3 separate regions of the Mus musculus genome follow, and regions 1 and 3 are each reported to be linked to region 2. Evidence: microRNA targets listed by miRTarBase, many of them from high-throughput screens and not tested one by one. Region 2 holds a microRNA gene; each other region holds the end of a gene's coding sequence.

Evidence for each region. Region 2 holds the annotated microRNA mmu-miR-434-3p (UUUGAACCAUCACUCGACUCCU, at 6,961-6,982, shown strand). A microRNA usually pairs through its seed, bases 2 to 8, with sites in the 3' UTR of a target mRNA and lowers its output. Matches are read on the target gene's strand: a 7mer-m8 pairs with bases 2 to 8, a 7mer-A1 pairs with bases 2 to 7 and ends in A, and an 8mer does both.
Region 1: the mRNA of Zfp93 is a reported target of mmu-miR-434-3p. Seed matches in the 3' UTR shown: 7mer-A1 at 6,112-6,118.
Region 3: miRTarBase lists Lrrc6 as a target of mmu-miR-434-3p. Seed matches in the 3' UTR shown: 7mer-A1 at 4,250-4,256.

Annotation. Positions count from the first base shown.
Region 1 is chr7:24,272,869-24,283,293 of GRCm38, reverse strand. It overlaps Zfp93 (zinc finger protein 93), which reads right to left. Exons shown (of 4, transcript NM_009567.4): 3 at 9,920-10,046; 4 at 5,500-8,560. The coding sequence ends at 6,765. It overlaps Gm51471 (a long non-coding RNA gene), which reads left to right. Exons shown (of 2, transcript XR_003946726.1): 2 at 3,769-4,892. Among named protein-coding and RNA genes, the nearest start is that of Zfp93, 7.7 kb to the right of the region's middle.
Region 2 is chr12:109,587,605-109,598,029 of GRCm38, forward strand. Mir434 (microRNA 434) reads left to right here and starts at 6,902; the gene lies at 6,902-6,995. Rtl1 (retrotransposon Gaglike 1) reads right to left here. Exons shown (of 2, transcript NM_184109.2): 2 at 1,589-7,884. The coding sequence starts at 7,799. The coding sequence ends at 2,565. 6430411K18Rik (RIKEN cDNA 6430411K18 gen) reads left to right here and starts at 3,933. Exons shown (of 1, transcript NR_002848.3): 1 at 3,933-5,247. Mir127 (microRNA 127) reads left to right here and starts at 5,242; the gene lies at 5,242-5,311. It also overlaps Mir432, Mir3071, Mir136, Mir3070a, Mir3070b and Mir431, and 1 more gene.
Region 3 is chr15:66,373,889-66,384,313 of GRCm38, reverse strand. It overlaps Lrrc6 (leucine rich repeat containing 6 (testis)), which reads left to right. Exons shown (of 12, transcript NM_019457.2): 12 at 3,743-4,456. The coding sequence ends at 3,920. Among named protein-coding and RNA genes, the nearest start is that of Gm41340, 25 kb to the right of the region's middle.

The DNA.
Region 1 (10,425 bases), not on the chromosome of region 2:
GCGAGGCTGGACCAATTGGGGTCATCTGGTGTCAGCAGCTTTCTTTGAGGCTGTCCTGGAAAGCAAATTTAGATGAAACAGCTATTAAAGCAGTCTAAGGTTGGATCAAACAGGATGCTGGAATAAACATGTTTCAGCATTTCAGCCTTCTTCTCAGCATCTTCCAGGATGAATCCTGTCAGGGCCACTCCAACTCACTGACTCACTGGTCTCTTTGTTCTGTAAACATGTAACCTTTCACAAATAATATACATTTTGCATTAACACATGTCTGGAATGTGCAATGTGCACATATCAGCTACATAGGATTCTCTCTCTCTTTTTTTGTATGAGCAGGTGGATAGCATATGTTTTCTTTATCAGTTGGTTTGGACTGTATAGCCAAATATGACATAAATTTTCATCCATGCCATAATAAAGAATGGTATGATGAGTTCCGGGGACTTTTGTAGCCAACAAAATTTATTGACTATGCATAGCTGAAATTATGGACGGGGACTTTTTTTTTTTTTTTTTTTTTTTTTTTTTGTCTCAGCTTGTTTTAGAGCTGTGACCATGTAGTGGGACCAGTAATACAAGTTACCTGTTTTTTGTTTTTTTGTTTTTTTTTTAAATTTATTTCTTCCCATCTAAGGTCAAGAGATTCAGAGGGTCTCCCCAGTCAAATCTAATTTTTATTAATTTGGAAAGAATCTATAGCTTTTTTTTTCTCCTGTTGAAACAAATGCAAAACATCTTCCCCTATGTAACATACTCCCTTTCTTCTATTCTGAAGTTAGGATTTTTATAGGCTGATCTAACTCAGCAGTTCTTTTCAAAATCTCTCAGCAGCTGTGCTACCTGTCTCATTAATGTTTTGAAAAGTGAAGTCAATAAATCACTATTTAATCTATCTCTGGGAGATCCCCTGCCCCTTCTGCTCTATGAGCATTTTCTTTAAAGTCCTGTCAGACAGTCGATTGTTCTGTAAGATTATAAGATATAACTGTAACATCCCCTATGCCACAGTGTCTGTAATATTGTTGTTTTCTAATGCACACATATGTTGAACGCATCATCAGCTTAAACCAGTAAGGCATTTTTCAAGATAGCCATCATATTTGAATAATGTTTCATCTCAGAATCGCCCTTTTCAGAATCCAAGGCGAAACCCGGATTGGACCTCTGAATGTGACTCTATGGTATTATGCACATTTAGAAAAAAAATCTCCAAAGTCTGCAAAATGAAACACATAAGCTATAGTGTGACATTGCTCTAGGGTGACATTGAACAGAATCTGTAGTTCTGATTCAGCAAATAGACCTTCGTCTGGTAATTGATCCTTGACAATATTAATATAATATCCCATCTAGCCGATGTGGTTCACAGCGGGAGCTTTTTTATTCAGCATCTGTACGGGCTGCTGTTCTGTGATCTCCTTAAGCCTTTGTGGATTTAAGCGCACCTGGCGCTCTGGGTTCCAGATTGGCACTTTGTGAAGATTCTTTATGCTGTTAAATGAATCCTCTAATCTCTATGATATGTCCTTTAATTTACGAATCTATTGCTCAGTCCTTTCTTTATCTAAGTCTGTTTTATTCTGATCTTTCTTAAAGAGGATATATAGAACTACAGTCATTGCTGCACATAAAGTTATTTTGTATGTTGACAGTCAAGATAAAATACGGGGTTCAAATGCCCTCTTTTACACTGTTTACCATTTCTAAACATGGAGAACATTCACTTTTTAAATCTCTCTAACTTTCTTTGGAGACTTTTTTTCTTGCTGTCTATGGAGATTTTATTATTTAAACTCTTTTTTTTTTTTTTTTTTTACTCTCTATGTTTAGTTTGCTTACTTTCTTTAGCGTCTATGTACCTTTATCTATTATTTCTTTCCTTTCCTTTTTCAGATTTTTTCATTCTCTCTCTTTTCTCTGGAGACTTAAAATATCTATGTGCATTTGTTTATCCCTCTTTTACCGCCTTTAAAACTTAGTATCTTTTTCTGCATTTAATTTTCTCTAAATTCTTTCTGTCTTCATGTGGCTTATTCCTCTTAATTTTACTTTACACCCTCTTCGTTGACTTTTATTATTTCCAAATTACTTCATTTTCGTCTATAATATTTTAGACTTAGTTTCTTTCCCTCTTTGGCATTAAAGCATAATTTTAAACACTTTTTACCTGATCAGAAGTTCTCATATGCTCAGATTTCTTCTGTGTGTGTTCTTCTTCTGCAGTTTAGCTCAGACATCTCCCTGTAGCTGGCCCCACACCCTCCTTCCCGTTCTTCTCCCACAGGGAAGAAGAGGCCGAAACAGAAGCGGACACCTGTCTACTGTTCTGGGCCCACATGCCATTGCTACACTGAGCTGAGCCTGTCCTCTGACCTCTGTCCACTCCGGGAATGTGGCTCTGGGCTGCAGTTAATAGGGTAGTGTATGCAAGCTTCATTGCTCCGTGAAAGCTCTTAATCCCAGTCCTGAGCAGCTACAGGCTTTTAACATATGGACCTGAACTGGACTGCAGTTTTCCTTCTGGCTGCCTAGCTACATCCAGCTCACTTTGTCCCTTCTCCGGAGCTTGCCACGCTTGGGAGGACCACAGCTACTGTGCCCTTAGGCTCACATAGAAGAGATGGCTTTTCTACTCAGCAAGGGATTCTTAACCGGTTCCCTTCCACACTGCCTCCCTGGGGATTCCTGCTCTTTCCTAGCCCGCCTCTTGATCCATGTGTGTGGGGGTGGGGTAGGGGATGTGGGGTAGGGGGTGTGAGGTAGGGGTGTGAGACAAGGGGGTGGGGTATAGGGGAGGTAGGTGGTTAGGGGGTAGAGGGAGTGGGGGGTGGGGGGTTGGAGGGAGAACCATCCTGTCCTCCACCTGGGCGTTCTCAGGCTCTAAACCTGGATTCTAAGAGCCCGTGTGTCGGATGCCACACATTACCACAAGCTTTTTTCTCCCGCACCTCAGTTCCTAGTTTATTTAGTTATTAATAATGCCTAGGCCAAAAGCTTTGGCTTGTTCCATGATTAGCTCCAATAACTAAATGTAGCAGGATTCCCCCCCAATTAATTTAAATATTAATACAACAAGAAGCCTGTGATTGGACAGGGAAAAGGCAGGCGGAGCTAAGAGTTTTCAAAGGCAAAGAGGACAGAGGAAGTAGGAAGATGGAGGAAGAGCAAGATGATACAGATTCCAAGTGGCTTTAGATAGCCACAAGTAGCTATGAGTATCTTATAAGGGATGGATAATTACAGGACAGTTTGTCTTATCTAGGTGGGCAATTTATATCTATATTAGTTGGCTCTGAGTTCATTGTGTGGGCATTTTGTGGGTGAGAATTTACTGATATAAATCTGACTTATAAATTCCAAGCCTCAAGAGTTTTGATTTTACCGGGTTAGTGGGCTTTGGGACCACTGACCACAGGGGTGGATGGCTGAGAATGTGAGCAGACCCCACAGCAAGAGAGCCATGACTGGTCGCTGCTGGGGCTAGCCTAGAGGCAGAGGTGGTGAGACTGCCGGGCAGTGAGTAGCTGGGTATAGCATGGGATGGTGCCACTCTTTAAATATTTCCCACAACAGCTAAATAACCCATTTATTCTATTCTATCCCTGCTACAAGGTTAATTACCTCTCCTCAGTTTCATGCATTTGACTTCCTCTGTCCAGGTGGGATCTTCCCACATCTGACTCTTTCCCAGAGTCTCTCTCTCTTTCTGGTGGATGTCCCACTTTCTATTCTACTCTTTCCTAAAGGTCATGGGCCTTTTATTGACAGATGATGCATAAATACAGTACACAAGAGATTATCCCTACACCCATGGATAAGCCTTGGAAAACTGAGACCTTCTCCCAACATGTGCTTGAAGATGCTCCTGAATTTGGATGAAGTGCTGAGAATAATACAGAAAATGAAGTCCCCCCCGCTCTTTTGAGACTATTGCCCGAGGAATTTGAGGCAGGCAAATCTGTTGTGCAGGCCATGGATTTGGATTTGGACCTAACTCTTTACTGGGAGCCTGCCACACACACTCCAGTGAAGACTGCTTGACAGGCTGAGAAGCCTGAAAGCACTCACGAGGCAAAGAGTTTCACAGAAACTCACCTCTTGGAGTTTTGGACTTCTCATTAACCTTTATACTCATACCCTATTCCCATGTTAGTCTGGTGTATGGATCCACGTGCTCTCTTTTAGTATTATTTTATTATAAGTGCCTTTTAAGATTGAATTCTGACATAGCCAGAGCCTTCGCCAGTGTTCCTAGGTTCCAGAAGCCTATGAGCTTGGAATCCGGTTGGAATGCAGTAAGGAAGTTACCTATGCAGTAACTAATTAAGCATTACAAAAGATGGAGACAAAGCAGCTCAAGGCTGGTCTGCAGAGTGTTTACCATGAAAGAGCCAGGTAATCCCACTGAGATAGAAATCTTCAGTACAGGCTACATTGCATATTAGAAGCAAGTTGGTGAATTCTTCTGACAAATGGAGATTCTCCACAGATACTTAAAAGTTACAAGAAATTATCAGGGCCCAGGAAATAGGGGGGTTGTGGTATTGCAGTATTCATGAGAAGGTCTACTAGAGTAGAACCCCTGGTGGTGGATTTAACAATAGACTAGCTTTACACCTGGCTCCCTTCTTAGTGGCAGCGGCCTGGTCCCCATCTTCTTTTGATGTATATTTTCCTTTTGTATTGTGTCACTTGGTGGATTGTGTCTCGTCTGGTTTCTCAATATTCTTCTATATAAAAAGGGCAGCGGCCTGGTCCCCATCTTCTTTTGATGTATATTTTCCTTTTGTATTGTGTCACTTGGTGGATTGTGTCTCGTCTGGTTTCTCAATATTCTTCTATATAAAAAGTTTGATGCTCGACTTGACAAACTACATTCAGATTCTACACAATCTCGTGTGTTGGTCTGTCTGTCATTCGCCTGACTCTTTGCCCACCTTCGACTAGAGACCCTTTCCACACAGACAAAGGGACCCAGAGGGTCTGCGGCAGGGGCCCTACAGATGAGGGAGCAGGACAAAGCCTAAATTATGCTGTTTTAAGATTTCCTTTCCCAATACAATTAATAACCTCTTCATCTTAGCCTCAGGCAGACTCTTCAGAAAAGGGCAAAAAAGAGCCACACTATTCACCAAAATATCACAAGAACAGTCTCTAGTGCACATACTAAAATTCTCTGAAACCTCTTGAGCTCCCATGGTTCAAATCACCCTCAGCATCATTGTCTCCCATGCTTCTACTAGTATGGGCCACTAAGTCCTGAGGAGAACAATGGCTTCCCTTTGGATCTGGCCTGAAAGGGGCAGAGCAGTTAACTGGGGGAAAGTTCAGGGGTCGTCCCTCCTGGAAGGGAGGGATGTCCTAACATGACTTTCTGTGGGCCAAAGTTATGTCCTTGTCCCTAGCCAAGAGTCAATATTTATCCGGTGAGGAGGGTGTCTTGGGTCTACTGAAAAACAGTCCTTATTTTGAAGAAGTTCTTATTATGAGAAAACGAATCCAAGAATGATAACATTTTTAATCTGCCCAGGTATTCTCATAATTGCCACAATGTCAAATAAATGTGCAATTATAGAATCAAGTTTTTAGAACTTAAAGCAACTGCCTATTGAAATCCTGAGTATGGTATGGTACACATACGTTAATTTTCCTAATTCTGCAAAATGAAACATATTCATTTGCCAAATTTAATTTCTTTGGATACTTTTTGGGTTACTCCCTGCAGGTAATGGAGTTTGGTTATATAAAGGACAAATAGGACATTTTCTTATAATTTCTTTGGCTTGTTGCCAAGTGATAGAAAAATCCCCCTCAATACCTTTAGTCTTATTATGGTGTTTCTTATGAAAATTTGAGGTTTCTAGCACATTTCCCATCAACAGGTGAACAATTTCATCATTATCTTGTGGAATCTGACATGTTATATACAATGGATGATTTCCCTATAATTAATTTTTGTAGTTGAATAAACAGTGAAGTTAATTTTGGTCATACTGAGTAAGTTCAGTAGTTTCTATATCCGAAACATTTTTTGCATATTGCGGGCAGTAACTACATGAAAAGATTCAAGAAAATCTAATAATTCCTTAAGAATGTCATAGAACTCTGATTTTTGAACTGGAAAAAAAAAACCCAAAACATATGGACTTTGAATGACTTTGATTATGTTTTTTCTGAATTATAACTAGCCATTTCCAACTTATTGACATTAGTATAAAATGTAAGGGCTCCAGGAATTGATGTTCTCTTTACAATATGGGGTGAATCCAATTACTTTGTATAAACTGAAGTCATTTGGTTTTAGGATAGTTGTTAAATTCTCCTATCAGTTGCTACAAGCTCTTTGCCAATCTTTATTGATTACCCATAATGATATAATATCAGCATTAGTATGATGCCCTACAATTCCTGTTGGGCCTGTTCCTCACAATTGCCAATGTTTCCTTTTATAATTAAATCAGAATCCTTTTCTATATACGTTTAATTCTTTTATTTATATGCTAAGAAGATCCATTCTAAAATACTCTCTTCCCTTTGCATAATGAGTACAGTAGGAGAATAAGTTGAGGGCAAAAATACCAAAATAAAGCTCCTATGAAGTCTCCTGAAGACTCTGCGTGTTGGGGATACTTTTAACAATCATCAGCCAAGAGCCCACCTGACAGCAGAAACTAAAGATTCCATGCAGTGTGGATTCTCTGGTGGAAGACAAGATGTGATCTCTGACTATAGCCCCTACAGCAAATATGGCCGATTTAAGGTCTCTATATAGTGTGGACCCTCTGGTGCATATGGAAATATGAGGCCTGACTGAAACCTTTCCCACACTGCTGACACGTGTAGGGTTTCTCTCCTGTGTGGACCCTCTGGTGAGAACTCAGCCCCACGCTCCATCTGAATTCCTTCCCACACTCCTCACACTTGAACGGCTTCTCCCCAGTGTGAATTCTCTGATGGACTTGGAGACTGGACTTCTGGCTGAAGGCTTTCCCACACGTGTCGCATTTGTAGGGCTTCTCCCCTGTGTGAACCCTCTGGTGGGCCTGGAGGTTTGAGGTCTTGCTGAACTGCTTCTGGCAAACATTGCATTTGAATGGTTTTTCACCGGTGTGGACACTGTGATGGGCCTGCAGACTGGAGGCATGACTGAAGCCTTTCCCACACTCCCCACATTTATACGGTTTCTTTCCTGTGTGCACACTCTGGTGACTATGAAGGCTCAAGCTCCAGGGGAAGCGCTTCCCACACACTTCACATCTATACGGTTTTTCCCCAGTGTGAATTCTTTGGTGATCTAGAAAATGTGAGCTCCGACTGAAGTTCTTCCCACAGACACTGCAGTGAAATGGCTTCTCTCCGGTATGGACCCTCTGGTGGCTTTGGAAGCTTGAGGCTGAACTGAAACCCTTCCCACACTCTTCACATTTATATGGCTTCTCTCCTGTGTGGACCCGCTGATGGATGTCTAGGTTGCCACTTAAGCTGAAGCGCTTCCCACACTCATTACACTCATAAGGTTTCTCCTCAGTGTGGACTCTCTGGTGGGTGTGGAGGTTCGAGCTACAGCTGAAGCGCTTGCCACAGTCTCCACACTTATATGGCTTCTCTCCTGTGTGAATTCTCTCGTGGGCCTGGAGGTGTGCCCACTGTGTGAAGCCCTTCCCACACACCTCACACTTGTAAGGTTTCTCTCCAGTGTGCACTCGGCGGTGGATGTTGAGATCCGAGCTGCGGCTGAAGCCCTTCCCACAGCTGTCGCACCTGTAGGGCTTCTCCCCTGTGTGCACTCTCTGGTGAGTCTGAAGTGCTGAGCTCTGACGGAAACCTTTGCCACACTCATGACACCAGTAGCGCTTTCTTCCTGGATGAACACTTGGTTGAATGGGGACACTGGGGCTATGCCTGGTGTCCTTGTGAGTACTATGCACAGGGGACTTCTTTCCTAAGAGGGTCTGTTGATGAAGTTCCAGACTAGGGCTGTCACTGAAGACTTCTTGGCCCCTGCTGCACTGGTAGGCCTTCTGTTCTCTATAAACACAATGCTGGGTGAGGAGCGTCATGGGAAAAATGACTTGATCACAGTCACCGCTGCTGGGGACTTTATCTCTTTTATGCAGTATATTGTGATCGTGGTGGGAAATGCAACCCAGAATGTTAACACCTGGAGCCAACAGCTGAGACTTCGTTTTCACCAGAGTCTGAGGACAGTGTTTCTCATGGTTCCATCTCTCACTAAAGTGTGCCTTACTCCAAGAACTCTGAGCCCTCCCAGAGAGAAATTCCTGATTGTCACTACTGCTGGAATGATTGCTTGGGAGATTCTCCAGACAGCCGTCATCCTCGGGGGCCTGAGAAGGCTGCTCTGCTCCCCAGTGGCAGGAGGAGTGGCACTGCTCCAGGAGGTGAGGACCCTTTCCTGGAGTGTTTATTCCATCTTCTGGAGCTCTGGCTAGTTTGTTGACATCATGGCTGGTCATTTGCCAACATGGAAGCTGCCCCAATGGAAGGCACCTTATTCCTGTTGTGTCAAGAGGCGCCATCTTATTTGGACTCTGGCATCCTGAAAGAATAGAGAACAGAAGATGATATCAGCAAGGATGAGGACATCAAAGTTGGCCAGTCCTCATTTCTTTCTGGAAATATTAACTAGAGATCAGTGTCAAAGGTGAATGTCTGAAAGCTCTAAGGAACAAAGAGCTAAAACCAAGAACAATCAACACTTGGCCATGGCGGGAAATTTGGGGTGAGCCTGGGAGTGAAGGCTCAAGGCTACCTTAGCCCGTGCTGAGCACCTGACTCGAAGAGCCTATGTGTAGCTGTGCAGAAGGATAATGGGAAGGAAGCACTAACTCTGTGGTAACAAGTGTGGTGGTGCTCAGACACCAGCGGAGGCAGGTGCAGAATGGAGAGAGTGAGGGTGAGACACATGAAAAGCAGGGTCTGTGAGGGCTCCCCAGCAGACAAATGCAGAGAGGGAGGAAGGGTGGGGAAGAGAGAGAGAGAGAGAGAGTGAGAGTGAGAGAGAGAGAGAGACAGAGACAAACACTCATACACAGAAAGACAGAGGAAGAGAGAGAGAGAGACAGACAAAGACAGAGAGACAGACAGACACAAACACACATATATACAGTGAGACAGAGAGAGGGAGAGACAGACAGAGACAGACAGATAGACACAAACCTATATACATAAAGAGAGACAGGGAGAGGGAGACAGACACAGACAGACAAAGACAGAGAGACAGACAGACATAAACATACATACAGACACAAACACACATATATACGGAGAGACAGAGAGAGACAGACAGACAAAAACACACATACACACAGAGATAGAGAGGGAGAGGCAGAGAGACAGAGACAGGAATTCCACCAGGGAAGAGCACTGTGTGGCCAGAGAGATGCAAAGGACAACACCTGAGACACACATATCGAAGCAGGAAAAGAAATAGAGATGAGCAGGGTTGGAGTGCAAGGCCCCAGGAGCACGCAGTTTGTCAGACACAGTCGACAAAGCTGCTACCCTAGTGCTTAGGAAACTTAGATAGGAGAATCAAATTTCTGGGCAAGCCTAGGCTATATAGCAAGACCTTGCCACAAAACAAAAAATAAAGTAGAGGCTAGAGATGTGGCTCAGCCATACAGAGCACTGGCTGCCCTTCCAGAGGACCCAGGGTGTGTGTGCAGCACCCACATGCTGGCTCACAACCATCTGTAAGTCCAGGTCCAGGGGATTTAATGCCCTCTTCTGGCCTCTGTGGGCATCATGAGTGAATGTGGCACAGACACACACGCAGACAAAACACTCACGTGTACATAAAATACAAAATAAGTAACCTAAAAGGGAAGCAGTGGCGTGCAACAGACACACGGGTGTGAACTCTGACATCACCAAGGACACAGGGCCCCGTCCTCACCCACTGCCAGGAGGTTCCTGAAGTTCTCCAGCATCACATCGTGGTACAGCTTCCTCTGAGCAGCGTCCAGCAGCCCCAGCTCCTCCTCGCTGAAGACAACAGCCACATCCCTGAAGGTCACCATCTCCTGTGACGGCAAGCACATGCCACCTCAGATTCATTCCCAATGCCACTAGGACCTGAGCAACTGCTTACACAGAGCCTGTTGTCTTAGGGCTTCTATTGCTGGGACAAAACACCATGACCAAAAGGCAAGTTGGGCAGGGAAGTTTGCTAGGCTTACACTTCCATATTCCTGTTCACTATTGCAGGAAGTCAGGATGGGAACTCAGGCAGTGCTGGATCCTGGAGGCAGAAACTAATGCACATGCCATAGAGGGGTGGTGCTTACTGGCTTGCTCAACCTGCTTTCTTATAGAATCCAGGACCATCAGCCTGGGGATGGCACCAACTACAGTGGGTTGGGCCCTCCAACATTGATGACTAATTAAGAAAATGCCTTAGCT
Region 2 (10,425 bases):
TGCGGGCTGTGGGTAAACGCACCTCTGCAGTCAACATCACTGGCAGCCTCTTGGCGGGCTGCTGGCTCACTGAGTTCTCCTTCACTCTCACTTGCTTGGGGCCCTCAGGGCCTTGGGGCCCCTGGCAGTAGTCCTGACCTAAGTCATCTCTGCATTCACTGGGCCAGAGAAGTCCTCACCAAGCAGGGACAGGATTGTTTTGTTTTGTTTTGAGGCCCAGTTTTGTTGGAGGTGCCCAGGTAAACTAAGTGAGGGTACAGGACTGGTACGTTTGTTCTCCTCCAATAGGACCCCAGTCCCACCTTAAGGTTATGGACGCTCCTTAGGAACAGGAGGAAGTGCTGAGTGAGGCTGAGCCCCTGACCTTGAACCTGGGATCCTATCCATGATCTCCTGGTGCTACCGTCAGGGGTAGATTCCTTGTCATGAGGCCCCTTAGGACCCATAAGGACACAGTGACCCCAGTGCAGGCTGGAGGGGGCGTGGAGGGATGCAATCTTGCGTTCTAAGTAGGGTTTTTCTGGGACCCAAGCTTATAGATCCTGTATAGATGGGATCAAAGAGCTGAAAGCAGGTAGGGGGAGGTGTCATGCTGGGTATCCAGGGGTCTGACACATTCTCAGGCCAAAGAGGGCCCCTTGAGGTTAACTCAGGGGTACATTTCCAGGCAAGATATAAAGGGCAGAGTTAAGAAAGGGCCCTTGGGCGTGAGGGCCCTGCTCATTGCACCTGCCCACTATCTTTGAGGTCACAGTGGGAGGGGGCCCTTGTTTTTATACTCCTAGCTTGTGTGCAGATTTTCTGGGTAGGAAGTATAGAGTTTGTGAGTAAGGGACTATTTGCTCAATTTCCCTCTACCCCTAGGAGCTCCTTCCCCATCCCAGAGTATCCCTCAAGATAGCTTTTTTTAAGGCAAGGATCTCAGGGGCCAACTGTGGGAATGGTTCCAGTGGGGGGCCACTGGAGCCTCCTTAGCAACAGGAGGAAGTGCTGAGTGAGGCTGAGCCCCTGACCTTGAACCTGGGATCCTCCCCATGATCTTCTGGTGCTATGGTCAGGGGTAGATTCCTTGTCATGAGGCCCCTTAGGACCCATAAGGGCACAGTGACCCCAGTGCAGGCTGGAGGGGGCGTGGAGGGATGCAGTCTTGGGTTCTAAGAACTGTTTTTCTGGGATCCAAGCTCAAACATCCTGCCTGTTGACCCTCCTCAGCTGTGGGCATTGAGCACAGTCTGGCCATTCCTCATTTCTCATGTGACTAGAGGGCTGGGACCAGATGAGGGCTGGGAATTCTGGGTACCCTCCTTCTGCCCCATGAAACCCTTGGTCCATTTCCCAGAGGAGCCCAAAGTTTTGAGAGTGAATTGACTTCCCTCCCTTTAGGAGAAGACAGGAGGCCTGTTGCTCCATGTCTTCATGAGCTGTTTCTGGAGAGTCAAGCCCTCCTATCCCTGCCCCTCCCACCCTTGCCCTTGCCCATCCCAACCCTCTCTTCACACTCCATCCTTTCTGACCCCATGCTCCATGTTCTCCAGTCCTGCCTCCTACTATCCACCCTCTCCCTTTTAGAACAAACCACAAAGTCAGATAATCTTTTCTTCTCTTTATTCATGGGGCAAAAGCAGGTATGAGTTGGGAAAGCAATGGAAGGACCTCTCCTTCCTGTGGCAGTGAGCAGTGGGTCTGGTCAGAGCACTCTTGGCTCCTTGGCACAGTACTCTGGGTATCTGGGGCTTCACCAGTGTCTCTTGGGGGCTCCCTCCTTTATGGAAGGTCTCTGTCCCCTGCACTGTCCATATGTCCATTTGGGGAGGGAAAAGGGAGCCCCACTTGGTTGCTACCACCCTTTCTTGGGTCCTCTGAGTCTCAGGGACCTTCAGGGTGGATCAGTCCATCTGGTAAGTCACACTGGTACGTCGAATGCTCCTTGGAGCAGTTCTGCCCAGGTAAGATCAGAGTTCAGGGTCAGATGAGGTGTCAATGGAGCCGGACCAGACCGGTAGTGGGTGGGTGGGTTGTGGGGGGGGGGGTGGACTTGCTTGCAGGGTGGGCTGGGGTTGTGGAAAGCATGGAACCACAGCACCTTGGGAGACTGGGAGGGAGTAGGGGCGTGTCCAGGGGAGTCGGAGCACCGGTGTAGAGGTAGAAGTCCGTGGAGCACCCAAGGTCAGTGTCCCAGGATGCACAGGTGGCCGCCTGCCACTCAGGGGGTGGTGGTGGGGTCACTGGCATCTGCTTGCTTGGCTGCACCTGCTGTATCTGCTCTGCATCTGGCCTGGGGTGACGGGGTCACTGTTGCTCATCACTGCTCTCTCCTCATTGGTCTCACTCCCTTTTGTGGGCCTGGGGCCCGGACAGTTAGGACAGTTAGGGTTACACAGTCTTGGCTGGTTCTGGGACGCTGATAGTTGGCTAGTTCTTTAGCACAGATGATGTTGCTGGTTGATGAAGTTGTGGCCCTTCACAAGTGGGTTCCCCTTGGGTTAGGAGTAGCAAGAGGGTGTGCTGGATCTGAGCGAAGCTGGCCGAGGCACAAGGGAAAATGACAGTGACTTGGTGTGTTTTCAGTCAAGTTCATCATCTGAGTCTGATAGCTCTTCTAGCCTTGCCTGTTCCCTGGCTGGGGAAGGCAGCGCCATTCTGGAGGCCATGGCCAGGAATCGTGTGAGGGCCTGGGCCACCTGATCTCTGCTAAGCAGAGTAAGGCGGCCATCGGTGCCCAGGGTGTAGAGTAGCCGGTTGTTGAGGAAATCTAGGACCTCTGGGTCCAAAAGATTTCGTGGTCTGAAGGTGACCGCTTCCTGGTCGCCAAACAGGTCCTCTTGCACGTCGTTGTCCTGCGCGTCCTGCGAGGTGTCTTGCAGGCCGTCATGCAGGCCACACTGACGGTAACGTTGCAGGTCGTCTTGCAGGGCTTCTCGCAAGACGACATCTTCATCCCCAACGACGTGCAGTTCCAAGTACCGGTGCTGGTAAGGGTCAGGAAAGACGTCATCCTCAGGGTTGACTCTGACCCCAAAGAACTCACACAGGGTCAACCAGAACCCAGGGGTGAAGCGCATCCCCCGTGGAGGCTGGGAATGCAGAGCATTCCGATGCCAGCACCTTGGGCCCAGGAAAAGCTCAGCCAGCTCTCGAGCTGGGAGGGTGTTGGCACCCACTAGAGGGGGCATCTGGCTGAGCAACTGAGCGATGGCTGTGGCCATGCCACTACTCGCAATGAGGGTCGAGTCCAGGATGAGTCGGAGTGTGTGCCGGTGCTGAGGCCTGGCCACTTCCAAATTAGGGGCAGGCACTGGGGAGAGGGGCTGCCTTGCTCTCAACATCACCAGGACAGCTGCCACACCCAGGAGACTCTTCCAGTAGAGCAGGCCACGGAAGAAGTTTAGGACAACGGCCCGGATCTGGGCCACACTGAAGTGAGCCAGTAAGCCATTGAGGATATGGTCCATCGGGATGGCAGCCAGTAGCTCCCGCACCATGCTGGGCACCTCCTCATCTTCTTCCTCCTCATCCTCTTCTTCCTCATCTTCCTCCTCCTCTTCTTCCTCCTCTTCCTCCTCCTCCTCTTCTTCCTCCTCTTCTTCCTCCTCTTCCTCTTCCTCCTCCTCTTCCTCCTCATCCTCTTCTTCCTCCTCTTCCTCCTCTCCTTCTTCCTCCTCCTCTCCCTCCTCCTCCCCTTCTTCTTCTTCACCATCTTCCTCCTCCTCCCCTTCTTCTTCTTCACCATCTTCCTCCTCCTCCCCTTCTTCTTCTTCACCATCTTCCTCCTCCTCCCCTTCTTCTTCTTCATCATCTTCCTCCTCCTCCTCTTCTTCTTCACCATCTTCCTCCTCCTCCCCTTCTTCTTCTTCACCATCTTCCTCCTCCTCCCCTTCTTCTTCTTCACCATCTTCCTCCTCCTCTTCTTCATCATCCTCTTTATCCTCAGTCTCAGAGGATCTGTCAAAGTACCTTAGATTTGCCCTAATGGACATAAGCAGCAGTGGGCGCAGAAACCTTGCTCTGAAGCCTCTCTGGTTCCAACATCTGCGGAAGAGTGCTTGTGTGTCACCTTCAGCTGGCATCTCCATAACACCAAAATTGAAGTGTGAGAAGAAGAAGACCCAATGCCCGGGGAGAAGTACGGTGAGCCTGTCATTATTCAGAGAGGCTAGATCCTCTGTGTTGAGAAGGATCATGATGGGCTCCTCGGTGTTCTCCAGGTAGCGGCACCACACCATGAAGGCAGCCCGGATTGGAAGGATCCTCATCTCCACTCGAGGGTACTCCACCTCCATTGTAGAGAGGGGTCTTGAATAGAAAGCACAGGTAGATTTCTTGCCAGTTTCGTCGTCGGTTTGGACCAGGGAGGCAGACAGGAATGACCCAGTGATGTCTGTTTCCAAGTAGAATGGGTTCTGAGGCTTAGGGTGATAGAGAACGGGCGACTTGCGGAAAGCCCTCTTCAGGGATTCCAAGGCCTCCTGCTCCTCTTCTCCCCAGTAGTAGGGCTCTGAACTCAGCAGTTGTCTCACTAGGGGTGCTGCGATGACAGCGAAGTTCTCCACGAAGTGGCGATAGGGATAGACAAGGTCAATCACACTTTGAAGACACCTCCTGCTGCCAGGGACAGGGCACCCCACGATGAGGTTCATAAGGTTCTTGTTCAGTTTCACCCCTTTGGGGGATATGTTGAAGCCCAAGATTTCAGCGGTCTGGCGATGGAACTGAGTTTTGTCCAGTGAACAGTAGATGTTGTGATACCGAAAGCGGACCAGGACTTGGCGGACATGCTGGGAGTGTTCCTCCTGGCTCATTGAGTAGACCAGGACCTCTCTGCCATGGCAAATCACAAACAACCCTAGGATGTCTTTTAGGATGAAGTGAACAATGTTGTTCCCTTCGTCAGAGTATGAGTTCATTGTGAAGGGCCGGTAGCATCTCATCTGGTGAAGGCCGAAACCGAACGATGCTCTCCAAGTGTCTTCCGTGTGTGTGACCGTGTGCCTCATCTCACTTTCCTTAATCCCAAGCAGCTCCAGTTTTGTGAACCATGCCGCTCCATGTAGCTGGTCGAATAGCTCTGGTACCATCTGCGTGTAGTCTTGTCTGTCAGTCAGCATGTCATACAGTATCCAGTATTCCTCTTGCTCCCTGGCTTTCTCTTGCTGCCTGGCTTTCTCTTGCATCCTGGCGCTCACAGGTTCCAAAGTCTCTCGGGCCCCAGACTCGTAAAAGACGCCGCTTTGATCACTGTCTCCAGCCTGCTGAAGCTCAGAGGGCTCTGATTCAGAAAGATCATCGGATCCGTCTGAGCTTGGCTGGTCGGAAGTCTCATCATCTGCCTCCCTCGGGTTAAACACGTCGGCCAGGTCTGAGTATGTGTGTGGCAATCCGGGCAGTAGGCTTATGCTGTATGTCTCTAGTGCGATGCATGGTGGAGGTGGGGTGAAGCAATTCCGCAGACAGTAGGGAGAGTGGAAGGTACACCGGCCTCTCATCCAGTCGACTTCAGGGGCATGGGTTCGGAGCCACTTCATGCCTAAGACGATGGAGAAGTTGGGCGAAGGTAAGATGTCAAATTCGATGTACTCATAATGCTTCTGGTGGACACATACCAGGGGCTCGGTGCACAGCCAGACGGGTTCATTGCCAATTGGGATGCCATCCACACCTTGGATTATCTGTGGATAAGGCTTCTCATAGAGTTCCACATAGTGTTCCTGGGCAAACCTCTCATCCATGTAGTTCCCTTCTGCTCCTGAGTCCACCAGGGCCCGCACTGCGACACTGTGGTAGGGGTCCACTCTCACCAAGAGCAGTAAGAAGAGGTGATCGCGATCAATGTCTGGGTGGAACTCATTGGGCAGCCAGCTGCTTACCCTCCACTTCTCTGGGGCGGGAGCATCCATCCAGGCTACGCTTCTTGGGCGCGACTCAGGTGGCAGCCTGAGTAATGCTCTTCTCTCTGCCAGCTTTTCTTCAAGTTGCAGGACAAGTACAATCAGGTTGTCTAGGGAATTCGGCTGAGGGATCCGGAACAGATAGTGCCTGATCTCTTCGTTGAGCCCCTGGCACAGGTGGGCCTGCAGGACTTCATCTGGCCAGCCTAAGGTGGGTATCAGACCCCGGAACTCATTGATGTAATCGGCCGCACAGCGGTTCCCCTGCCTGATGTTGAACATGGCGTCTTCCGCCACACGCAGGGTCTGCCGATACTCAAACTTTTCTGACATGGCCTCCAGGAAGGCTGAGAAGTTGTTTATCACTGGGCTGTTCTGCTCTACGAGGTCGTTGGCCCATTCCAAGGCTAGGTCAGTCAGGTGGCGGATGACGAATTTCACCCGCAGCTCATCATTGTATAGCATACTTGGGTAGTTCTGCATTGTCATCTGGCAGAGCACGACAAACTCATGGTAGTCTCTGCGATCTCCAGAGAAGGGCCTGAGGGAGGGCAGGCGACCTTCGTTGATAGCCTGCATCATGAGCCTTTCTGCCACTCTCTGTTGTTCTTTTAGGTCTTGCATCCGGAGGAACAGCGAGATGACGTTCCCCATGGTGGCCACGACTTCTTCTGGAGAGTTCTTGGGCTGACCTTCCTCTTCACCACCTTCCTCTTCCTCCTCTTCCTCGTCATCTCCCAGGTCAGTATCATCTTGGTCTGACTGGGTCTCGGATGAGTTGATTGTTTCATCCATGCTATAATCGGATGCCTCACTGAGTGGTTCCGACCCTTCCTGGTTTGAAATATCACTTGACTGGTTTGAACTGTCGCTTGACTCCTGGTTCGAATTATCGCTTAACTCCTGGTTTGAATTATCACTTAACTCCGGGTTTGAATCATAGCTTGACTCCTTTTGTGAACCATCGCTGGACTCCTGGTTTGAACCACCGCTTGACTCCAGGTTGGAAACATCGCTCGACTCTGGGTTTGAACCAAAGCTCGACTCATGGTTTGAACCATTACTTAATTCGTGGTTTGAACCATCACTCGACTCCTGGTTCGAACCATCATCACTTGATTCCTCCATGTCTTGGGGTAGATCGTTAGATGATGCCTCACAGGGGTCGCTGGATGGCTCCTCCACTTCCCGGAGTAGATCAGTGGGTAGCTCTTGCATTTCCTGGTAGGGGCCACTGGATGGCTCCTCCACTTCCCGGAGTAGATCAGTGGGTAGCTCTTGCATTTCCTGGTAGGGGCCACTGGATGGCTCCTCCACTTCCCGGAGTAGATCAGTGGGTAGCTCTTGCATTTCCTGGTAGGGGCCACTGGATGGCTCCTCCACTTCCCGGAGTAGATCAGTGGGTAGCTCTTGCATTTCCTGGTAGGGGCCACTGGATGGCTCCTCCACTTCCCGGAGTAGATCAGTGGGTAGCTCTTGCATTTCCTGGTGGGGGCCACTGGATGGCTCCTCCACTTCTTGGAGTAGATCAGTGGGCAGCTCTTGCATTTCCTGGTGGGGGCCACTGGATGGCTCCTCCACTTCTTGGAGTAGATTAGTGGGCAGCTCTTGCATTTCCTTGAGGGGGCCACTGGGTGGCTCCTTTTCTTCCTGGGCTGGGCCACTATCTGAGCCCGCCTGGGCCTCAACCTGGGCCTCAACCTGGGCTTCAGCCTGAGCCTCCGCCTGGGCCTCCACCTGGGTCTCCGCCTGGGCCTCCGCCTGGGCCCCTGCCTGGGCCCCCGCCTGGGCTCCACTGCTGCCTGGTGTCTCTTCAACGGTGTTGGATGAGCCCTCGGAGGACTCCATTTGTTTTGATGATGGATTCTTAAGCTCCATCATCGTCTCAAATGAGTCTTCAGAGGGTTCTATCATGTCGTCGGTTGGAAAGGAGTGTGCTCTGAAGACTGGTAAGATTGTGATGTGTGTGGTCAGAGACCGCAACTGTGGAGACCAAAACCTAGGGACAGAGGGATAAAAGACAGGAGAAAATGTAGCAATTTAGGTTCTCAAGATGGCAGGGTCAGATTCTATCTCAAGGACAAAGCAGATGCCAAGTTACTAGAATCAGAGAGAAAATGGAGAAATTCCTCCTGCATTCAGTTCAGCCTCCTTTTCTGGTTACTTGGGGCACCTCCAGGGGAAAGACCGTCACCCCCTGACCTGCCTTCCAGGCGGAGTCTGACTACCCCACCTGCCTACTTCCTCTAGTGGAATGAGAAATTCACAGCCCATAAATTTTGTGGAGCAACTGGCCTGGAGCGTCCTCTGTGGCGAGCTAGCACCTGGCAGGGCACACTTCTGGCCCGCTTTGCCCTGGCCAGGTTCCCTTCCCATTTGTAGTCACCCAAAAGTCATAAAGGTCACATCTCAATGCCACTCAAAGCGGCTGCTGGCAGGCTTGGTGGTCTAGAGCCAGCCCAGTGAGCTTGGTTGGAGGCGGGAATCTGCAGGGAGATGCCTGCTATTTCACAAACTGGGGAAAGAGGAGAAATTGGGCACTTGGCCACTATCCTGCCAGTTGGGTCAACAGCCAAAAATAGCTCTTATTTCCTCCTCTAGGCTCCAAGCCGAAATAAGTGAGAGAGAGCCATGGCTTTTGGTTTTAATTTTGCTCCCCATAAATGTTTATAAAATGCCTACTATGTGCTGAAAACATGCACTTTCATGGCTTCATCCTAGGTCACACTTTGTGCATATGCAGGATAAGAGGGGGGTGGGGGAGGGATAGTATCATTTCTCTTGTTCGGTTTGATCTCTGTCCAAAGCCACGTTTTCTCCAGCTCTGAGCTGAGTCGGAGCTTTCTAAACACCCTTTCCCGGGCTTTCAAAAAAACTGTTCTCCCAGGATTGCCTGGTCTGCAGGGCTCCTGCAGCTTTAAACATCTGGCCTCAATTCTGCTCATGCAAACATTTCTGCACGTCTCACAAATGCTATCTTTCCAAGTTTCTCCTCTGCTTCGGCAGGAGCAGGGTTTTCGTTCTCAAAAGTGCCCCCCCCCCCTTTTCTGTCACTGTTGATTTCGTCTGGTACAGGGGTATATCTAACAGAGGTATGAAGTTGGGTGAAAGGGGGGGCATGGGACCTTTGAAATCTGATTGTTCCGTAATTTTTGAAAATCTAGCCATGGAGGGTTTAGTGCACGGAAATTGAATTTAAAGGGATGTATTGGTTTGCAAAACAAATTAAGCTAGTTATTCAATAGCTCAGCCATATAGCTATTGTCTTTATGAATTCTGCACCTTCTGTTACTTCTCAATTTTCTTTTTTAAGGTCACTGGGCTGACCTATCCAAAAACAGAAACACACACACATACACACACAAAACCAAATAAACAGAAATCTCCCATGTTGTCATTCATGTAAAACTCCCGTTGGCCATCCTCCAAACCTTGCAGCAGGATGCTTTTGGGTCTGCAGTTTCTCAGAATTAGACATCTCCTTGTTAGCATGACACTTAAATTCGATCATGCAACCCCTCTGATTAAAGCCTCTCACTGTTTATTTACTGTCGGCAATATTAAATCCAAACCTTTTATATAAACATGTCTGACATGTAAACTTACCAAAAAAAAAAAAAAAAAAAAAAAAAAACTCCTGGCTGAAATTGAAAGGCCTTAGCATAATGTCCACGTTGGGCTTCTCATTCCTAGAACTGGAGATCACAGGTCCTGAGCCTGCTGTACAGACCATCAGCTCAGAAACATGCACAGCATATTACATAAATCAACTTATTTCCTCTTTCAGGAAAAGTCGTCTATTATTAAAATATAAAATTTGACTAATTCATCCCCAAGTTCATCTGCGGGACATAAAAATCTCAGCAGGTCTCCACCTAAAAATTGCTCATGGTTTCAATTTTTAAATTTGCAGCAATCCGATTTTAAAGCTAAATGATACCCGTTCTAAATAAAATGCCTATACTTAAAATATTACAGACAAATTTGATCATGTAAGGGATTAGATATTTCTGCTTTCCAGCCCTCAACCAAAAATCTCTTGTCCTAAAAATTTTAATATGCCTGGATATCAGAATAAACCTTTAGTTGAGATAAACAATTTTCATCTTATGATTTTCCTATTTAACGCACACATATTCACATACACAGACATTTCTTTTCTTTACCATGAAGTTCCAGTTGCTTAGCATAAATTATTTTTAAACCATGTGATTTAATCAACATAATCAATACAAAAACCCACAGTTTCACAGGCCACAATAAAACATCTTTGACAAAGTCCAAAGCTATTGTATGGTAACAAATGTCGAGCTTCCTGCAACATGCATGTACTTATGTTCTGCTTAACGCCTCACAAAGTCTCTGCCTCACCTATGGAGACCAAGTCTTAAAGTATGATCATAAAGCCATACGTTTCTCAGCAGACTGAGACTATCCAACATGCAAAGCTCATGATATCACTCTCCTAAAAATCTCATCGTGGCTGGCATCCAAATTCTTCAGCATGGCATGAGAGGACTCCTCACACCCCTCACCACCG
Region 3 (10,425 bases), not on the chromosome of region 2:
GTTTTCCAACCTTTTACCCTGAGGTAGTGTCTGTCTTTTTCCCTGAGGTGGGTTTCCTGTAAGCAGCAAAAAGTTGGGTCCTGGGTGGGTATGGGGGACTTTTGGTATAGCATTGGAAATGTAAATGAGCTAAATACCTAATAAAAAAATGGAAAAAAAAAGTTTGGTCCTGTTTATGTAGCCAGTATGTTAGTCTATATCTTTTTATTGAGGAATTGAGTCCATTGATATTAAGAGATATTAAGGAAAAGTAATTGTTGCTTCCTATAATGTTTGTTGTTAGAGTTGTGATTCTCTTCTTGCTATTGTCTTCTTTTAGGTTTGTTGAAGGATTACTTTCTTGCTTTTTCTAGGGTGTGATTTCTATCCTTGTTTTGGTGTTTTCCTTTTATTATCCTTTGAAGGGCTGGATTCATGGAAAGATATTGTGTGAATTTGGTTTTGTCATGGAATACTTTGGTTTCTATGGTAATTGAGAGTTTTGTTGGGTATAGTAGTCTGGGCTGGCATTTGTGTTCTCTTAGGGTCTGTATAACATCTGTCCACGATCTTCTGGCTTTTATATTCTCTGGTTAGAAGTCTGGTGTAATTCTGATAGGCTTGCCTTTATATGTTACTTGACCTTTTTCCCTTACTGCTTTTAATATTCTATCTTTATTTAGTGCATTTTTTGTTCTGATTATTATGTGTCAGGAGGAATTTCTCTTCTCGTCCAGTCTATTTGGAATTCTGTAGGCTTCTTGTATGTTCATGGGCATCTCTTTCTTTAGGTCATAGAAGTTTTCTTCTATAATTTTGTTGAAAATATTTGCTGGCCCTTTAAGTTGAAAATCTTCATTCTCATCTATACCTATTAATCTTAGGTTTGGTCTTCTCATTGTGTCCTGGATTTCCTGGATGTTTTGAATTCTATCTTTTTGCATTTTTCATTTTCTTTGATTATTGTGTCTGTGTTTTCTATGGAATCTTTTGCACCTGAAATTCTTTCTTCCATCTGTTGTATTCTGCTGCCGATGCTCGCATCTATGGTTCCTGATTTCTTTCCTAGAATTTCTGTCTCCAGAGTTGTCTCCCTTTGTGATTTCTTTATTGTTTCTACTTCAATTTTTAGGTCCTGGATGGTTTTGTTCAATTTCTTCACCTGTTTGCTAGTGTTTTCCTATAACTCTTTAAGGGGTTTTTATGTTTCCTCTTTAAGGACTTCTATCTGTTTAGCAGTGTTTTCTTGTAATTCTTTAAGGACTCCTCCTTTATCAGTGTTCTCCTGTATTTCTTTACGTGAGCTATTCATGCCTTTAAAATCCTCTACCAGCATCATGAGATATGATTTTAAATCTGTGTCTTGCTTTTCGGGTGTGTTGGGGTATGCATGACTGGCTGTGGAGGGCATACTGGGTTCTGATGACACCCAGTGGTCTTGGTTTCAGTTAGTAAGATTCTTACATTTGACTTTCGACATCTGGTAATCTCTGGTGTTAGATGTTTTAGCTGTCTCTGGCTGGAGCTTGTTCCTCCCGTGATTCTGTTAGCCTCTGTCAGCACTCCCGGGAGTCCAACTCTCTCCTGAGTCCCAGTGGTCAGAGCACTCTCTGTAGGCAAGCTCTCCTCTTGCAGGGAAGGTACACAGAAGTCTGGAGCTCAGATCCACCTCCTGACTCCAGGGGTCAGAGCCCTCCCTGGAGGCCAACTCTTTTCTGGCAAGGAAGGTGCCCAGAGGTCTGGGTCTTAGCTCTGCCTCCTGGCTGCAGATGAAGGCCAGAAGGGACCCTGTCCAAAAAACTCTGTTGCTTTTGCCACCCATGTGCTCATTTGTGTAGGCTGGTCTCATTGATTCTAAGATCCTGGGTGTGCTACGGTCTGCCAAGTTCGTGCCCAAGATTTGTGGGGCTGGAGCCACCAGACGGAATCCCAGCCTCTGGTTGGGCAGGGTTCCTTTGTCCCTGTTCCTGCTGGCACAGGACGCTCCAGGATTTTTTGGAACAGATGTTGCTTCCACTCACCAGTGATTTCAAGATCCTGGGTGTGCTAGGGCACCTGTGGCACGGAGAGTTCTCTGAGGACCTTGGGACCCTCTGCTGGGTTTGTGCGGAAGATGTAGGGGCAAGCTTTTAAGAGTCTTTTCCTCATTAGAACCTCCATACTTGAAATTTTCACTGGGGGTCTAGAACATGCTAAAATTCTCCTCCCAGGAGGAAAGCACACAGTATGCTGTCCATACCTGCTGCTGGCACAGTGTGAATCCTGACTTTCAAGGAAGTTACATGTCATTAAAGAGATGGAGGGAAGCCAGCCCCAGTCTTTCAAGTCTTTATATACCTATAGTTAATTCTGAGGGGAAGGTGTAGCTAGGTCTCATCTTTCTACAATCGCTGTTTATCTGAGTACTGGTTTCCCCTTCTTCAGATGCTACCTGGGTCACTTGTTTGCACAGGCAAGTCCATTCTTGCCTACGTTCCTGCACCCCAGCATACAGAGTTTATTTACAGCCCACAGGCTGGACTACGGAATGCATAGTATTTATATGCTTGGTATTCTTCCTCAACAAGTCCATGGATATTATTCAAAACACTGAGAGGAATTAGTTCAAATGTCCAGAAGGGCTGAGCAGAGTCTAAGAATAAGGAGGAGATTTCAAGCACTATATTCCCAAGAATAGATTTTCCACATCCCAACAGACAGTATCTGCTGGACACATTTCACCTAAGGATGTCACTTTGTAACTCCTCCATAAAGCCAAGACAATTTCTTATATAAATCCATTATTTCTCCTAAGAAGGATAATACTTTTTTCACTTACAAAATAATCATTTATTCAAATACAACTGGATGTCAAGGGAGAACATTTAAAAATGCAAAATTTCAGCCTTGAGGATGTCAGCATTCTCTGAAAACAGACCAGTATGATAGAGATAGATTTCCACGATGCTTTAATAAATTCCATGTTCTCACATTGTACTGCACTATGACGAGAAATCTGGCATTTTATAATGCACGGTGTCTGTCCTCAGTCTACTGTGGTTCCAGGATCAGAGAGGCATTTGACCTGTGTCTGTTAAGTGGATCAATGAATGAATTGTGCAGTGATTACAAAACAATATGTCTGGATACATGAGGAATCATTGGGCGAGGGCGGGGGGGGGGGTAGAAATGTGTAGGTCACTGGTCTGGAGTCTAGGTGCAACGAATAAAAATTGCTGTTAAAGGAACACAGGAATGTGTGTCATGAACAGAGTTCATCGAAACACTGGGAGTTTTTGACAATGGAGTCTCTCACTGGTCCTCTGCAATCATACCACCTCTGGAAGTATTGGGCATGGGCAGTAGGAGCAAGTACCTGTGCTAACGGAAGCTGTGGGCTGAGCTTTATTGTGTACCTGAACTTGTCTAAATATCTCCACCATAACAAAGCTCAGGACTTACACTTGGCTAGAGTTCTGTTGATCCTGGCCTGTGACTCTGCTTTTTAATTTCCTAGTTAAGAGAGCTTCTCAAATTCTGCATCTCCTGCTGCCTATATAATAGTAGCACAGCCCTGATTGCTAGTTTTTCTTCCATGGGTAAAAATCTTATTTCTAGAATTCATTATAATTATTGAAACCAAGGACAGTGTTTCTTTGCAATCTCTATGCCATATAGACACCATGCGCGAAGCATTCACTGAATGAATATATGGGTTTACTTTCTTTGAAGCTTAATTTTAAACAATGTAACATTATTTCCTACTTGTCTTGTTCTGTTGTAGAAAAAAGCAGATAGAAAGATTGGAAGTTGACCCCAGCAAGCATTCTTGCCCTGATGTGTCTACCATAGTACAAGAGAAAAGACACAGACCCAAAAGAATGGAATCTCAACCCCGAGATGAACCCAGTGAGGAAGATCCAGACTTTGAGGATAACCCAGAAGTGCCTCCACTAATTTGAAATAGGAGGCTGTGTTGTCATTGACCCTGACCCACAGACTCATGTTGCTTGGTGTTGACAGTGGCTATGTGTCATTCATGGAGTAAACATAGTTCATTATCATTTTTACCTGATGCTATAATGCTTTCCATGCATTGTAATATATTTGAGTTTACAATTAAATTGCATACCTTAAATATGCTATAACTTATCACTCATCTATAATTGAACTTCGAGCTTGAAAATGTGAAGTAATTTAATAGAACTACGACATTCAACATTAAGAATAAGTCATTTAGTCTTCACTTATGCAATAGATTGTGTTATATGGAAAAGGTCTTTAGCAAATTGTTCAAACTCAGAAGTTAAAACTGTACTCTCAGGTCGAACGAAAATGCCCTGACATGATTTTAAATAGTATTTTTTTATTTTTCTTCTCACGTTTCTGCTTTCTCTAGTGGCATGATGTAATGGCAAGAATAAGAACTTTGACATTAGATTTCCTGTATTTAGATTCCTGCTGAGTCACTGAATAAAGACTTTCAGCTGGTCCTTGATTTCCTCAGGGTGGGGTGACTTCATTTGTACTATGCTGATAGTAATGATTGCCTCATAGGTTATTCTCAAGGCCAGCCATGCAACTCACCTTACACAAGGCCACACTGACATCCCCTTGCTTGCTCACCCCATTACTTTTCTTCTTTCTTTATGAGGTGTGGCCAAAGTGGAGACATCTTGTGACTGCTTTGAGATTTTAAAATCCATATGTTCTCTTCAGTTGCTCTTTCTCTGCTTTCTGCTTGCATTTTGAGATTTGAGGTCTTGGTTGTTGCTCCAGCTTTCTGATGTTATGCCACCCTGTGCTATTATCCCTCTGGAACTGTAAGGCACATAAACCCTTTCTTCTCTAAGTTGCCTTGGCCATGCTGTTTTATTACAGGAACAGAGAAATAATACAGAGATCAGCACGTGCTCATAACAACCGAACCATCTCTGTAGCCTCTGCCACAGGTATATCGTAATCTAATCATTGTGACATTCGGTTTTACAGTCACAAACGATGCAGAGAAAATTAGGTAAGATCTCACAATTCCAAACCCAGCTCTCAGCACAGATGGATCAGAAGTCACAACTACAAAGTAAGTTGGCAAACCCCAGACAACAAATTGTCCATGCTAGCAATATAACATAATAGTTCATTCAGTCCTTGAATCAAGTGGCTGTTACACTCATCATAACAAAAACTTGCAAAAGAAAGGGGTTTATTTGGCCTTACACTTCTTGGTCATAATCCATCACAGGGCAAGAATTCAAGGCAGGAACTGGGAAGCAAGAACAATGGAGGAATGCTATTTTTCACCTCTAGTCTATGGGTCTATGCTTAGCAAGCTTTTTTTTTTTTTTTTTTTTTTTTTTTTTTTTTTAATAGCCCAGGACCACCTGGCTAGAAGTGGTGACACACGCAGTTGGTTGACTCTTCCTAAATTTTCTTGATTAATAATCATGAAAGTCCCTCATAGAAATTTTTGAGGGCCAATCTGATCTAGGCATTTCTTAAGTCAAGCTTTCCTCTCAGTGATTCTAGGCTTGTGTCCAGTTGACAAGCAAAGCTAATTAGGATGCTCTGTTTATTGTCAACTTGACACACAAACACACCACTTTAGGCTCTAGCTGTTCATTCTCTGTATGTAATATCTCATGTTAATATTCTAATATAAATTACAGTCCAACTTCTTCAGTCCCAGTCTTAAAATCCAAATTCTCTCACCTGTGGATTCCTGTAAAATAGAAACTTGCATTTTTTTCATTTATAAAATAAAAGAAATGAGGCATAATAAGTATGATCAAAGTTAAGTTAAACTCCAACAATGAAAAATCCAAACACTTTAGCTCAATATCTGACATCTGGGACTCACTTATGACCTTCTGTACTACAAAGTGTCTGGACAGGTCCCTTCTCCACCTCTTATCCGCAGCACACACCACTTGCATTGCAGCTTTAAACTGGCTCCATCACTTCACACCTGACTCTGGTATTAGCAGTCATCCAATGTCTTGTGACCCTCCATTGCAACTAAGGCTACACCTTCACCACAGGCATCTCCTGGCCTCTCCACATGGACTCTATAATCATTCTGCATAGTGCAAAATTTCATCTTCTTTCATGATCCTTTATGTCCTGACACTTTCATGCTTTTTCAACCAATACTATGTGGGAGACTCTCCTATATTGCCAGATTGAGCTGCCAGCATGAGTTGTAGTTTTGGCCACCTTGGACCACAGCTTCTGTGCATTTAAAGTTGAAGTGAACCAGAGAAAAGTTCACTCAAGGGTGCTGATCGCTTAGCAATCACAGCTGATTCTTCTATATTTTGTGACCATGAATCAGAGATTTTTTTTTAACTTAAAATATCACACAAATGGTCCTAGTAGTGCTTCTGCTTCCCACTGTATTCTCAGAAGCCAGGACTCCATTGTCTGTATCCTCTCATAATTCTTCTCTTGTAAATGCCTACAACAATAGTTCATTAAGCTCTGAGAACTCAATGGTTTTTCTACCACAAAGTTCTAAACATTTTCAGAACCCTCTGGCAAAAAAAAAAAAAAAAAAAAAAAAAAAATAGGCAAGGTCCACTTTAACGCTACCCTACCCCGGTACCAGTTTCTGTTCTATTTAGTTTTCATTGCTGTACCAACACCATGATCAAAAGCAACTTGGGGAAGAAAGTGTTTGTTGATATTATACTTCCAGGTTAGAATCTATCATATAGGAAAGCCAAGGTAAGAACTTGAGACAGGAAGCTAGAGGCAGGAACCATGAAAAAATGCTACTTCTTTAGACATACACTCACTGTTTAGTTAGCTTTCTTATGCAGTCAGGGCGACCTGCCAGGGATAATTCTACCCCAGGGAACTTGGTCCTTTTACGTCAATTCACAAAGACACGCCCATAGTCCAATCTGATCTAGGCAATTTCTTACCCATGGCTTCCCTCTCAGATGACACTAGGATGTGACAAGTTAGGTAAAGATCACCAAGAGAGAAGTGATTCATTCTTTACATCAGGGCCGAATTGGAGAACCCCACATTGCCATTACCCATATCCTACAGTGTTGTACACAGGTGGTATCTTGAGAGGGTACCAACTCTTCTAGATACAGATTCTATAGAGACCTAAAAATAAAGAATAATCACAACTTGAAATGCCTAGGTATGTTTAGCCATGGTGTCTCAGAGGATCTGGGAAGATCCTGGCTTAGTTTTTGTTTGCAGATGCACATGCGTAGCATTGTTACAAAAAACCTGCTGAAAAGTGCAGATAAGAGAAGACTCAGTTCATGAAGGGTATGGTGGTTTGCTGCCTTGTTATCTGTGGCAAGATGTGAACCTACCACAGAGAATATAGCCTGGGGATTACTGTAGAGCGCTGAGACCTAGCCAATGGCTGTTCAGCCTACAGGACTGCTTCCCTGTTATAGTTGCTGTGCTACTAACCAAGAATGAGAACTCCGATCTCCAGGATTGTGATGGCTATGTTTGGTTGTCAACTTGCCTATATCTGGAACTAACATTCAAAAATAAGAGGCACACAATTGAGGGTTTTTAACAAAAACTTAATTTGAAGTAGGAAGATCCACTTCTCATCCAGATCTTGAGGCAGGAGGATACATCTATAATCTGGACCACCCCTTCTACTGAAAGCCTATATAAGGACATGGAAGAAAGAAGCTTTGGATGGTTGCCTGATTGCTTTTACCTTGGTAGCAAGTATATTCCTTCAATGGCACTAGAAACCTCTTCTTTGGATCTCCAGTGTCTACTGAAAACTAGCTGAGACATTAAGCCTTGTAGATTGAGTAATTTCTGGATGGGTTCTTGGACTCTACATTCATATCCAGCCATTGGTGGACTAATTGGACCATAGCCTATGGTTAAGACCACATAATTCTAGTATACATACATATATGTATATACATACATACATGCATACATACATACATACATACATACATACATACGTATCTAGTACACACTAGATACATATATACAATACACACTATATATAGATACATATATACAATACACACACATATATATGTATGTATATGTATAATGTATATAGGTTTCTATTGCTTACCCTTCTTGCACATGATTTACCTCTAGATGAAGTCTGGAAACACTGAGAAGGGAATGCTGGTGGCCTGCAGTGATTTTCATGAAAACAGTGGCTATAAAAGGTTGATCCTGGCTTGGGAGTCATTTCTGTTTCTTGTTAAGACATGTAGCTCCTCCCTTATACATGTTCCTCCCACAATGTAGAACTATCTGTGGTTATGGCCCCAACCACTGAAATCCACTCAGTTGTACGCAATGAGCTTCTAAAACTATGAGCTTTAAAAACCTTGTCTCTCTCCTGGGTTTCTTTGTAGAAACAGAAAAGATGATATCAACGGTAGGTAGTAAGCAGCAACATGTGCCAATGTTTTATGTCCAATAATGATGAGTGAGTCACCCTGTCAGAGGACAGAGGGCAACAGGGTCCCCTTTCAGGTAGAGCCACACTCCAACGAAGAGGCTTTCCAGTAGAAGGCTGTGCTGATTATATTGTCTGTAGGACATCAAAATGTGTAAGTCAGTGTTCAATGCAGAAAATGGAGCCTCTCTAGGTATGATGGGAATAAAGGGCTGGTTGTAGGAATGCCGTCTAACCCAAGTATGAGAGGATACAGAAGCAAGATGGAGCATGAAGACAGAAGCAGAGGTACAGTTCGAGGGCCAGAATCTGTATCAGATGCTGAAGCAGAGCCACAGGCAGGGAGCTGGTAGGTAGGTTGACAGAAACCACCCATCTACTAAAAGTGTTGAACATACCGAGTGGCTGGGTCATTGGCTTATAACCAAGTTCTTGAGGTAGCTTTGCAGCCAGTGCCTGATGTGTTTTTACCAGTTATGAACATGTCATGATCTGTGAAAACAAGACAAGCACTGATCTTTTTCTCAGCACACCTTTTACCTGGCACTAGTTCCTGCTCTGGGGAGATATACAACCTTCATTTTCACACTCCTATACCACTATCAGGTATGCATATATTGAGATGTATTTGGTTACCCATGTCTTGTTTCCATAGAGAATCTCTTTGAACTGTAAGAGTTCCATTTTCTTACCACCCCTCAGGTAGAAATTGTTATATGATCCTCTTAGCATAGTCAGACAGTCCATCAGCTTCTTCACTGCTTTCTTGTTCATTGGTACAAGGATACTAAATGGCCCAATTTTTTCAGCATCTAATGGGAAGACAGAGTTGTACTCTGAGAAGGATGCTTTATTTTCTTTGAAACCCATCCTCTAAGGCAGTATAGCTATCAGAGTTGTAGAAACTTGGAGAAAAATATAGACTGTCTGAGCATATGGCATAATAATGAGAGGAATATCTTCATTTTTGACCTCTTTGTTCCACATCTGTGCATCTTCACTATGGGAGAAATAGCATCTTGTATTACATGGGGCCTCAGAGCATAAGCTTTGTCCTAGAACATGACATCATCCACACACAGTCTTATACTACCATTTAATGGCACTGGCATTAAATTTTCAAAAGGCCACTTTACTATTGTATCATGCCATCTAATCCAGGATAATGAAGAACACAATAAATCCACTGACTTATGACATCATTCCATTGGGTCATTTCAATTGCTGCAACGTGAGTTTCCTGACTTAAGTAACATGCCATGAAACATTGTAGCAGTGAAGAAAGTATTTGTCATTTAAGACTACAGAGAGTGGGTTCAAGGGAAATTCTGAACAGAAGGAAGGTCCATCTTCTTTCAGTGAGGGAATCTTCAGTGAGACACAGGACCTGTCCTTCTCTGATAGAAGTGTGTCAATGCAGTCAGCTGGCTGACCCCCTGAATTAGTTACTTTTCTGTTGTTGTGATAAAATATGAGAAGCAAGGCAACTTTCAGATAGGATTACGTATTGGGGCTTACAGATCCTGGGGTTTAGTCCATGGTGGTAGGGGAGATGGCCAGAGCAGAAATCTGGGAGAGTGAATATCCAGTCACCAATAAGATACACACACAGAGAGAAAACAACTGGAAGTGGATCAAAGCTATTAGGAGACATGTAGAGGAATGTTCATGTGTGTAGACAGCAAAGGTCAAGATGAGGTCACCAGCAGTGACTCTTGGAAAAGGTATGAGGCTCCAGACAACAGGCTGGTACTCAGATTCCAGTCTTCACTCACAGGAAGAAAGACTGCCCTCTGTCTGACAGCTGGGGCTGTGACAGTCTACGTGTGTCTGTCACCGTTCACAGCTTCTCACAGCCTGCCTGACACATTGTGATGGGAAGTGATCTGCCATCTGCAATTGATGCATGTCAGGCCAGGGTGTCTGCCATCCTAGCAGGCCTAAGCTAAAATTAGCTTTTCTTTTGTGTGTCTCCCCCTGACTATTCTTTCTCATTTGGTCTGATGTTTCATTGTAACAGAATTTCCGTGTTTTCAGCTGCAATGTCTCTT